Mytilus edulis: one gene and its partners. The protein of the gene in region 1 purifies or fractionates together with the protein of each later gene. This does not show direct contact. Links are inferred from orthologs where the notes say so. Each region holds a gene or a part of one and is shown in the gene's direction. Other genes may lie near its edges.

Region 1 (3,766 bases):
GAAGTGGATGTTTTTCGCCATCTTGGATTGTTAATAGCAGAGAACTGAGGTTTAGATTTTCAGTTGAATTAGCAAAATTTGATGAAGGAAAGTAGATACCTAATTTCTCATATGAATTTTGATTTAAAAGAACAAATACATTAACTTTTAACTTATATATATATATATATATATATTAAAATTCCTTCATGAAATAATTTAATAATATGACTTTTTTGTTAACTCCCCTTTTATGACTCAGTTGGAAAATATTTGATGAACATAACATAACATAACACATAACATAACATGATATAACATTACATAACACATAACATAACATAACATAACATAACATAACATAACACAACACAACACAACACAACACATAACACAACACAACACAACACAACACAACACATAACATAACATAACATAACATAACATAACATAACACAACACAACACATAACACAACACAACACAACACAACACAACACAACACATAACATAACATAACATAACATAACATAACACAACACAACACATAACACAACACATAACACAACACAACACAACACAACACAACACAACACAACACAACACAACACATAACATAACATAACATAACATAACATAACATAACATAACATAACATAACACAACACATAACACAACACAACACAACACAACACAACACATAACATAACACAACACAACACAACACAACACATAACATAACATAACATAACATAACATAACATAACATAACATAACATAACATAACATAACATAACATAACGTCATATTTGCAATATTGATTTTATTTTATTAAAAAAAAATTAGTGCTTCATATATATTATGTTTTGGTTATTTTGCAAGATACATGTATATTTTATTTGCTTAAAGTTAATTTTTGGTGCTGCTTTTAATTATTTATTGCATGCTGCATGCCTTGTTTTATTTGTTATTGTATATGTTTTTATATTCGGTGAAAAGCTCATTAGAGCTAATGCTTGAATTGTTTGCCAATATGCCGAATCCAAATAAAGTTTTATTTACTTACTCGGCAACATAGAACTGACACTTTATCTTAAAAATCTGTTATACGCATGTGTAATGGAACGTCAACAAAATTGACTTCCTGTGTTCTAGAAACAGAATGTAAACACATTTTCGACGTTTTAGGTGTTAATACTAGAATTGATATAGTTTTAATGAAATGAAAAGCATTAAGTAAAGTAAAATGAGTTCCACTACACAGACACCAGAAGGAGCGGAAGGTGGGTGTGATGTTCCGCCGAACAAATCTGAGACACCTGAAAACGAAGACTCCACATTTTATGAATGTAACATTTGTCTTGACACTGCCAAAGATGCTGTTGTCAGCATGTGTGGTCATTTGTTTTGGTAAGTATATTATTCCACTGTATATTGTTTATAGGCCTAGTGCAAAATAAAGAAAAGTCAAACATATCTGATGTCACTCAAGAGTCGAGTTGATATATATTTTGTAATTGGTTATCCAGATCAAGGAGTGGGGATACATTTTATATCAGCCTTCTGATGGTTCTTATTGGCAGTCACTCTTGTATGATTTTAAGAAGGCATTCACAGTACCTGTTCATTCATAGTCACTATTTCATAATGTTTGAAACAGCTTCACCTTTCCTGGTAGATATATATTAATATAATTATTTTCTGTGACTGTATCTAACATTCATTTGTAGGATCCTTTACTATAGATAATTTAGCTGATCTGTAACAATAACATCTTCATGCCTTATATATCATGTACTGCAGTACGCCGCTAGATTAAAACTGACGTGGAAAGGTAACACACGGCCAGCAAAAGCTCTTTTTTAGAGAGCCCAGTTGGTCGTGTGGTCTAGCGGGACGGCTGCAGTGCAGGCGATTTGGTGTCACGATATCACAGTAGCATGGGTTCGAATCCCGGCGAGGGAAGAACCAAACATTTGCGAAAGCAAATTTATAGATCTAACATTGTTGGGTTGATGTTGAGACGAGTTGTATATATATATATATATATATATATATATAACCATATGCAAGTTGAGTACATTTTGTACTTACTCCTTAAACTCAGGTGTTAGAGCTGTGGCTTAGTGTGCTACGTTTTGTACATGTAGGTGATCCAGAGTTGAATCCTGAATACAGTTATGAAATTTTGAAGACTTATCTTTATGATCCTACTCCAGTTTCAAAATAATTAAATTGGCACCAAATATAAACTTATTTAAAAAATAATCCAAAACCCATTTGGGAGGTTAACTCTTAGGGGTTATAAATGTGCATTTTAATCCATTATCCACATTTAAAACATTCAAAAATCACATTAACAGTTGGTGATCTTTAATATAGATGAAGCTGTAACTGTATACAGTTGTACATTGTATATCATCATCAGAAGAAGACATTCATTAGTCATGATAATATTTATTCATTTTTTCACAGTCAATGATTTTTATTACATTTGTACTGTACTTTTACTACAACAGTACAACACATACATTTTGTACTTGTTTCATCAATTTACATTATACATGTTATGCATTTATATGAGACAAACTTATTAAATGACCAAGTCACTGACAGACATGCACACTGTACATGTACATAATGTACATGATTTATATATGTACATGTATGTTATTGTTAACTATTTTCCTTATTACATGTATTACATTAATTTTAATTCAAGTGACGTCCATATGTACATAGCACACAAGTTTTAGGAAGTTCTTCACTCTTACATGTTGTACCTAGGAGTCTACTCCCTAATTGGGAGGAGAAGAAGAAACAGACTAACCATATTTTTTTTTGTGTATTTATTTAATTTTTTTTGGGTAAAAACTTGTCTTGCATATATATGCATGCATTAATATTATATTTTAAATATTACTGGTACAGTGTTCACGGAAGTAGTCAACTTATTGTCACTCAGAAAAGAATCATGCAGTGTCAAATAGCTAGATATGATATAATTCAACCATATCTCTATCTTAAATCAATACATTTTCAGCTGGCCATGTCTGCATCAGTGGTTAGAAACAAGACCTAACAGAAAACTGTGTCCAGTTTGTAAAGCTGGAATAGATAAAGATAAAGTAATACCTATTTATGGCAGAGGGTCAACCGATAAAACTGACCCAAGGTATGTGAAGCAGTGAATTATAGAACATGTAGAATAATCATGATAATAATGTAATATACCTTGCAAAAAAGTCACCTGTAAAATTTTAAAATCAAAGCATACATTTTTGGCGTTAATATTGAGTCACTGATAAGGTCTTTGCATCGGAACTAAACACATTTATTCTAAAAACAGTTGTTGGCATGACACGGGTTATGTTCTTCTCATATATGTTATGATGGTATGATACTAAACCCCTAACGGGAAGGATTGTGCCTGATGTTCATATGATGAAATCATAATCTTTCAGTCAGTTTAGTTGAAGTCTGGAGCTGGCATGTCAGTTAACTGCTAGTAGTCTGTTGTTATTTATGTATTATTGTCATTTTGTTTATTTTCTTTGGTTACATCTTCTGACATCAGACTCGGATTTCTCTTGAACTGAATTTTAATGTGCGTATTGTTATGCGTTTACTTTACTACATTGGTTAGAGGTATAGGGGGAGGGTTGAGATCTCACAAACATGTTTAACCCCGCCGCATTTTTGCGCCTGTCCCAAGTCAGGAGCCTCTGGCCTTTGTTAGTCTTGTATTATTTTAATTTTAGTTTCTTGTGTACAATTTGGAAATTAGT
Region 2 (3,766 bases), on another chromosome or scaffold:
TCAATAAACTACATAACACAAGCTCTAGTGAGCTTTTCAAATCGACTTAATAACAAAATACAATACACACACACACACACACAATACAATACACACATACAAAAGTCATTAAAACAACACAATTTTAAACATATAATGCATAGTAAAATACCATAAATGACATATATAAGTTAAAAGCATATAGTACACTTAAAACATAGCACAAGTTAATAATAAGATTGCACAAATCATATAATCACACAAAAAATAAAAGTAAAAATAAAACAGGCATAAACACTACAATTATGCATGCACTGCACTGGCATGAGCTGTTACTTGGATCCCATGTTTGTACCAATTTTTTGAATTGGTCCAAAGATGTTTCCATTCGACAATGGTTCGGTAGCTCATTCCAGATTTGTGTAGCATTATAGCGAAACGATCTTAAGCCATACTTAGTAGTTCGAACTCTTGGGAGTACTGCTGTTTCCTGTGATCTTAAATCATACTTGTTAATTTTTATATCAATCAAATCATGAAGGTATGTATATCTAGCTGTTTTTCAACAATGCAGTATAGTATCCCTTAACAATCAGACCCCAGTGTAATTTAAATGATCTTAAATGTTGAATATTTTTCTGGTATGTGGTTTTATATGCCTGACATATTTTCCCTTAAAATATTAATTGATCCATACCAAGAGTTTTTTTTTTTTTTTGTTACAAATAGCAAGGACGTATGTTAGTTATACGTCCTTGCAAATAGCAAGTTTAGAACAATCATATGCGCCCTTTAACAAAGGAAATGATGCAAATACCTTAAAAACGATGCAAATATCTTAAAACATGTTTGACTATGTCATAATGCAGAGGAAAACGTCATAATTAAGACAAAACTGCAAAGTTTGTACTTTTTCTATACCTAAAATATATTTTCAGAATTTAGTATGAAGTTTTTCACAAAGTATCCTAGAGTAGATTGTATCCACCGATAAGTTTTCTTTTTTATAAATGTGCAGTAAAGGGATTAAAATATCCCCAAATTTCACACCCATATAATAGTATAGGCTTTGTTGTAAGGTCAAAATGATGTATTGCATTTTTTAGTAAAATTATACATAAAATATTTCATTAATTTTGCGGATGCACGGTTTCCGTAAAATTTGGGTCTTTCTCCGTATACCGACAATGAATTTATTGTTGCCATCTGGTTTCCTTTTTGTTTCTCCTTTATTGCCTTTGCTCATAGGAAAAAATAATTTAAGCCAGATTGATAAACTATAGGTGGCGTTGTGTTTGACAGGTGTCGATGAAGACGAAGCGATTTGTTGGTCAATATTTACGAAAACAGTAAACAAACTGGTAGCGAATATTTTTAAAGAAATAGGTCAATCCACAAAGTAGTTTGTACACTTGTTCCAATATCTTCTAAAAAAGAAACAGTCCCCCTTGACCCACATTAATTTACACTTGTTAAAAAGTTATATTTTCATATCTGATGATCTTGTCCAATGATGAAAATTTCCAACAGGGATAGGCTGATATACAAATTGTTTTGACATTCATTATACGATTTGGATCTCCTGTAGTTGGTGAATACCAGTATTCATCAATGAGACATCTACCCAATGACAAAAGCAACCAATGTACGTACAGTCTACATCTTGATCGCTTCTCACAACCAAATGAATACAGATGTCCACATTACAAATGTATATGTCAAGCTCTAAATTGTCCCAAGTCTATGAAAGTTACATTGTCGAAATAAGCATCTGGTGCAGGAAAATTTGTACCGTTAATGTTTTTATAAATAAAAGATGACAGAGAAATGAGATATTTAACCAAAGATAATCATTGGTGTTATTAATTTAGATTTCTGATTTATTTTCAGGTACTCAAAGTGTATGTACCACCTGTACACAGATATGCCACTTATTGAAGGGATAGGAGATGAAGTTACTGTTGTTTTTACCATTTTTCTAATATTTCTACTTCTCTGTATTGCATGGTTTTCAACAAATATTCAAGAACTACCTTTCTTTAGTATCATTGTAATAGACTTCACAAGAAGACAGAATAGAAATGCGCAACAGACTAACAGTGTTGAAGCAAGTGATAGTTCTGCTGTAAGTTCTACCTCTAGTGAGGAATCAACAGGGGACACATCCATTCAGGAGGAGACTGACAATGCCAGTAGGTCCTCCTCTGTTGATAGTGTAAACGAACAAGTGACAGGAGCAGTAAGTCAAATTCCAGTTCAAACAGATGATGTATCAAAGACAAAAGACAAAAAAGAATCATCTAACGAAAATGTGATTACAGAAGAATCAGGGGAAGATAGGGTGTTAGAGGACAGAAATGAAGATAGTGATGACTTGCCTACAACAGAAACTGAACTGAGACGTAGAAGGGTTGCATTCTTTTCTGATAAAAATCAAGTTATAGAGACAAAAAAAGAAAATAAAAATCATGAATCAGAGACCATTGTTATAAATGACAGAAACCCATCAAATTCATCAAACAATGAACTTCCATCAAATTTACAAAACAATGAATCCAATAAAACAACTGAGTCTGTTAAAAATGAAACTGAAAATTTGAACAGTGCTGAAATAAATGTTTCCTCTGAATCGGAAACTAATTCTAGTCAGAGTGATAGAGTTCGGATACGACTGAAATACCTAAATGACACTCAGAGAAATGTTGAAGCATCTTTAGAGGATACAATTGAACAGTTTAGAAGGTATGACATATATATAATACACATATTTACACTTGTATGCATATTTGTCTGCCATTACTTTAAATCACACAAGTTGTTGTAAAATATGACATCACAAGTTTTTTAACCAATTTAGATCATAATTAAAAAGTGACTCACTGTTACTTGACATCAAAAGGTTATTTAGAGCAGATCTAAAGTTATTTGTAGATAAAATTCAGCTTAATATCAAAAGTGCAAATATGTTAACACCCTTGTTGCTTACTCTGTTTATAATTTTCAATACATACTTTATATAGTACTGTAATCAACTTTGAAGAACTGAAAATTATCCAAAATAATGTACATGTCACTGTAGAACAGTTTGTATTTCTAATTTATTGAACAATTTAAACTCCAGCTGAATTGTAGTTCTATATAAGACTTTTAGCATAATCATTATGATTGCAAATTTATGAGAGCACTCTCATCAATAGACCAAATGACTCATCAATTAACAAATATAGGTCACTATATGGCCTTCAACAATGAGTAAAACTCATTCCACAGTCAGCTATCACACTTGTAAAGGTTCTCAAATGACAAATGTAAAAAAAAATGAAAAGAGAATACTAATAGCCTAATTCATGTACAAACATGTAACACAGCAACATATAAAACCTCATTCATTACTTCAAATGACAAATGTAAAAAAAAATGAAAAGAGAATACTAACAGCCTAATTCATGTACAAACATGTAACACAGCAACATATAAAACCTCATTCATTACTAACAAATGTACAGATGTCAATAAAAAAATGAAAAAAAACCCAAAAAACTCACTCATACATGTAGATGTAACTTTGTTCCTTGTAGGTATTGACAAATATAGTTAGTACCCATGGTAAAACTATCATAGCAATACAATGAAAGTTCAAACTATCAAAATTTTTCAATGCGTAGGTCATGACATTTACAAATTATTTTTCAATTGTATGAACTTACCTTTGTATATATATATATTAATTTGTATTAATTTTATAACTTGTTTGGTTCTGTTGCACTTACATTCCAATACACAAAAT
Region 3 (3,766 bases), on another chromosome or scaffold:
AAAGATACAATATGTAAATCATAGTTTTAAAGAAGTCAAATGGTGTAATCATTTCTGGTCATGAATCTTTCAACATTGTCCTCTAAGGATTTCTCATAGGAAGGTATTTAAATGCAATGCCATCCTTAAGTTGAGATTAATTCTACGGAACGATTTGGGAATTGAGATAAACAGACAATAATATGAATTGAAAAACTGCAAAAGTAAGAGCTATTCAGATGTATAAAAGGTCTTTGTGACTGACTAATTAAGTAATCTGAATTGATTTGAGTAGTCAGTTTTCCTACTGATCAGGGTCAGTGCTTCTCTCCGGGCTTCCTTCTGCCAATGAACAAAAAAAAATGATCGCCAATCTTTGCTCCGACTAAGCTAGTGGATAAGCGGAAAAGCAGCGAACACAAATTCCAAAGTCTTTTGTTTGACGCAGCCGGGATCGAACGCACAACATGGGCTTTATTGTGCACAATCTCCAGAATTAGATAGATGACAATACAATTTCAAATTTTCTATCTGAGTTTATATAACGTAACGAAACTATAAAATACAATGTCTTGAAAATTTGTGGTTATATTTATTGCACATTTCCTTCCTAAATTTTGCAGTGTTCGATTTATTAAAAAAAATTATTACATTGGTTGCAATGAATTACATTGATTTTCCAGTTAAATAAAAACCGATAATTTCACATGTGAAATAAACGTGGTTATTTCACTCTCTGACGTCATACAACTATAGGCGTTGTCAAGACGTCGATAACGGCGGATCAAAACAAATTGTGAATGCGTAGAAAAAAGATATAGTTCCTTACATGTTTTATATTAATTTCGTTAAAAAAGCCATTTGCCAATGTAATAAAAAGAATAACTAATTAAAGAATTCAAATATCGAAAAATATTCAACTCGTGACCGAACAACACTGATAATTAACTCATGCGCTACGCGCATTCGTGAATTAATGTGTTGTTCGGTCACTCGTTGAATATTTTTCTCTATTTGAATTCTTCCATTAGTTATTCTATAATTATCTCACTGAGTGTCTCATAGAAAAAGAGAAATAACTCAATTTTACTGAATGTAAGAAATATACGTCTTTGTGATAAATTACTTATTCGGTAAAAATGTTTTGTTTCCTCGAAGGACGATAGCTGAGCTAAGAAATCTTTTAAATTGAGGGATTTCCACCGAAAAATCTGAGTCTTTTTCCATGTTTTCTTTAATATTCTTTTTCAAAGTTACTAGCTTTTGTACTTTATCTCATATTCCCTCAACATGCTCAATATCACAGGAATTAATATATTCGTAATGTTGACCGTTAAATGAAGACGAGAGCTCTAATAGATATTGTTAAAAATATATTTCATATCTTACGTAAAAATATTTCAACATAATCGAGCTTCCTTAAACAGGAAAAGGAAACCCGGATTTAGGTCAACATTTACCAGACTTTTTTTTAAACTAAAATTTTCTTTGTTGACAGTACGTCGTTAATGTTGAAAAATCACAATGTTCTCTCTTATGTCAGCTATTAAGATTATATTTTTCATGTGTTTTGTTGTATTTTGTGTGCAATATTGGATGCAGAACAAAACATTTCTTACTGATCATAAAGAGATTGCAGAAATAGCTCGAAAACATACAGGTAAGTAAAGTGTGTAAAATAAGGTTAATAAATAGGACGTTATATATAAATTATATATGTTACAGGGAATTTGTAAAATCAGTGAATCAGTGATTTTGTAAAATCCCTAACAGTTTCAGTGGTTTTGTAAAATCCCTGAAATTGTTAGGGATTTTACAAAATCACTGAAAATAGAGCAAGAGATTTTGTAAAATCCCTGATAACAATTAAATATAACTTGCTATTATAAATGTGTTTTTCTTTAAATAAAAATAGACTAATGATCACTAATGATTTTGAAATATATTTCTTTATTAAACACTTAGTCTATGAGCTAGAACTAGTGTATACTGATAAAGACTAAATGGCATGTAAACTTATATTTAGACCACTGTGAATTTACTTATTTTTGCACTAGGCAAGTTAGGGTGACATCTACTTTGATACTATTTCGTCCCTACCGCCATGACCTATTGATATGTGAATTTTCTGAACTATGCTGTACATGTCTTCAAGACATCCATAAATTTTTAAAACATCTTCATCTGATGAATACCGCTTTTACCGAATTTTTCAAATCTCCATATTGGAGAACTTCATACAATATTATTAAACAAAATATTTAATTTATTTGGATTACAAGAGTTGAGAAAGTTTAGAAACTTTGTTATATAGAATACATCTATCTGATATATGATCAAAGTAAGTAAAACTTTTTTTATTTTCTGCTTAGTTAGAACCTATTCATAAACATACAGGTACAAAGCAAAGCATCCTTATTATATTTTCTGTTGTCTTTTTTCTTATTATTTGGTGAATATAACTGTTACATGTATTGTGTAGGCAACTTAATAATACTGACAACACTTATTTTCTTTTTATATGTCAATTTTCATGCAGCAATAAGATGATATGCATGTAATATTTGCCACTGGATCACATACCCTAACCCACTCTTATACCTTACATACATGTATGTTTTTCCTTCTCTAATGCCATGTTTGCTCTTGATTTAAAGACATCTGTGCTTGAGCCAATGTTCTACAGTATGTCAGTTATATAGTGCATGAAAACTGCTCTCTTAATATTAAAATAAAACCTAGATTAACCTCAAACTTATAGAGTATTACTGCAGTATGTTTTTTTTTTCACAGAAATTCTAAATAAAAATGAGTGAATTTATTTTACAAATTGCCTGAATTTAATCAGTGAATCTGTAAAAAAGATTTTAATTATTACAGGGATTTTGTAAAATCACTAGTCAAAATCAGGGATTTTATAAAATCACTAATCAGTTCAGTGATTTTACAAATTCCCTGAAATTTCAGTGATTTTACAAAATCCCTAATTTCACAAATTCCCTGTAACATATATATGTCTGTGCATTGCATATGATAGCATAATGTTTGTTATTGTTTATAATGTTATATGCCCCAATGGGGCCCTAATATGGTGAAAATTATTCTGTTCTAATCTATTCTATGCTAGCATATTCTGTATGTATACCATGTAGCTTCAACAGTCAGGGGACTTACTAAAATAAGTGATTTTTAAATCACTTATATGAGTAGCAAATTCGAGGTTTTGTCACAAATTGGGATTTTGTAGTTTTTTCAAAATTTTAAACACATAGGTTTAAAAAATATCTTTTAATTAGTAAAATTAAAAAAAAAAATGAACTTTTTGCTTCTTTTAAGTAGCAAGGTTTATGCCTTTGATGCTATCATTTAGCTGAAAATTCTATTTTAGTTGAAAAAAATGCTATAATAATGGCTTTACATATGAACTGATACTTTCTTAAAAGATTTTTCCCAGCAGTGGGAGTATTTTTCCTGTGAAGTTCAAGGTTTCATCTTTCAGATTATGTAATAAAATTCTACTGTTTTGCGATAAAAAATTTCACTGTTCAGGGGTGTTGAAATTAGTGGGGTTATTAAAAGAATTATACTTAAAGAAGTGATTTTTGGGAAGGAAATTGAGGTCTGATACTTAAACAAGTGATTTTTATGTCATTATCCTAGACTCAGTACAAGGTCATCACCTGAAATGACCTGGTCATCTAGACAACACAGATGTTGGTTCTGATAAGCGTAGAAACATAATTAGTCCCTGGATCATTAGTATTCTATATTTAAAGCTACAATAAAA

What was found.
Region 2: the proteins of E3 ubiquitin-protein ligase RNF185-like (region 1) and transmembrane and ubiquitin-like domain-containing protein 1 purify together in Homo sapiens (affinity purification with western blotting; 3 studies listed by BioGRID and IntAct, with this or other methods). This does not show direct contact. The link is inferred for Mytilus edulis from reciprocal best matches to the Homo sapiens genes RNF185 and TMUB2.
Region 3: the proteins of E3 ubiquitin-protein ligase RNF185-like (region 1) and sigma non-opioid intracellular receptor 1-like purify together in Homo sapiens (affinity purification with mass spectrometry; 3 studies listed by BioGRID and IntAct, with this or other methods). This does not show direct contact. The link is inferred for Mytilus edulis from reciprocal best matches to the Homo sapiens genes RNF185 and SIGMAR1.

Annotation. Positions count from the first base shown.
Region 1 is NC_092349.1:12,202,570-12,206,335, reverse strand, and holds the start of E3 ubiquitin-protein ligase RNF185-like, read left to right. Parts: upstream 1-1,060; 5' UTR 1,061-1,224; coding exon 1,225-1,388; intron 1,389-3,021; coding exon 3,022-3,153; intron 3,154-3,766. UniProt on the Homo sapiens protein: E3 ubiquitin-protein ligase that regulates selective mitochondrial autophagy by mediating 'Lys-63'-linked polyubiquitination of BNIP1.
Region 2 is NC_092345.1:53,519,970-53,523,735, forward strand, and holds the start of transmembrane and ubiquitin-like domain-containing protein 1, read left to right. Parts: upstream 1-1,189; 5' UTR 1,190-1,309; exon of another isoform or gene 1,310-1,365; intron 1,366-1,869; 5' UTR 1,870-1,882; coding exon 1,883-2,721; intron 2,722-3,766.
Region 3 is NC_092356.1:46,422,283-46,426,048, forward strand, and holds the start of sigma non-opioid intracellular receptor 1-like, read left to right. Parts: upstream 1-1,432; 5' UTR 1,433-1,503; coding exon 1,504-1,639; intron 1,640-3,766. UniProt on the Homo sapiens protein: Functions in lipid transport from the endoplasmic reticulum and is involved in a wide array of cellular functions probably through regulation of the biogenesis of lipid microdomains at the plasma membrane.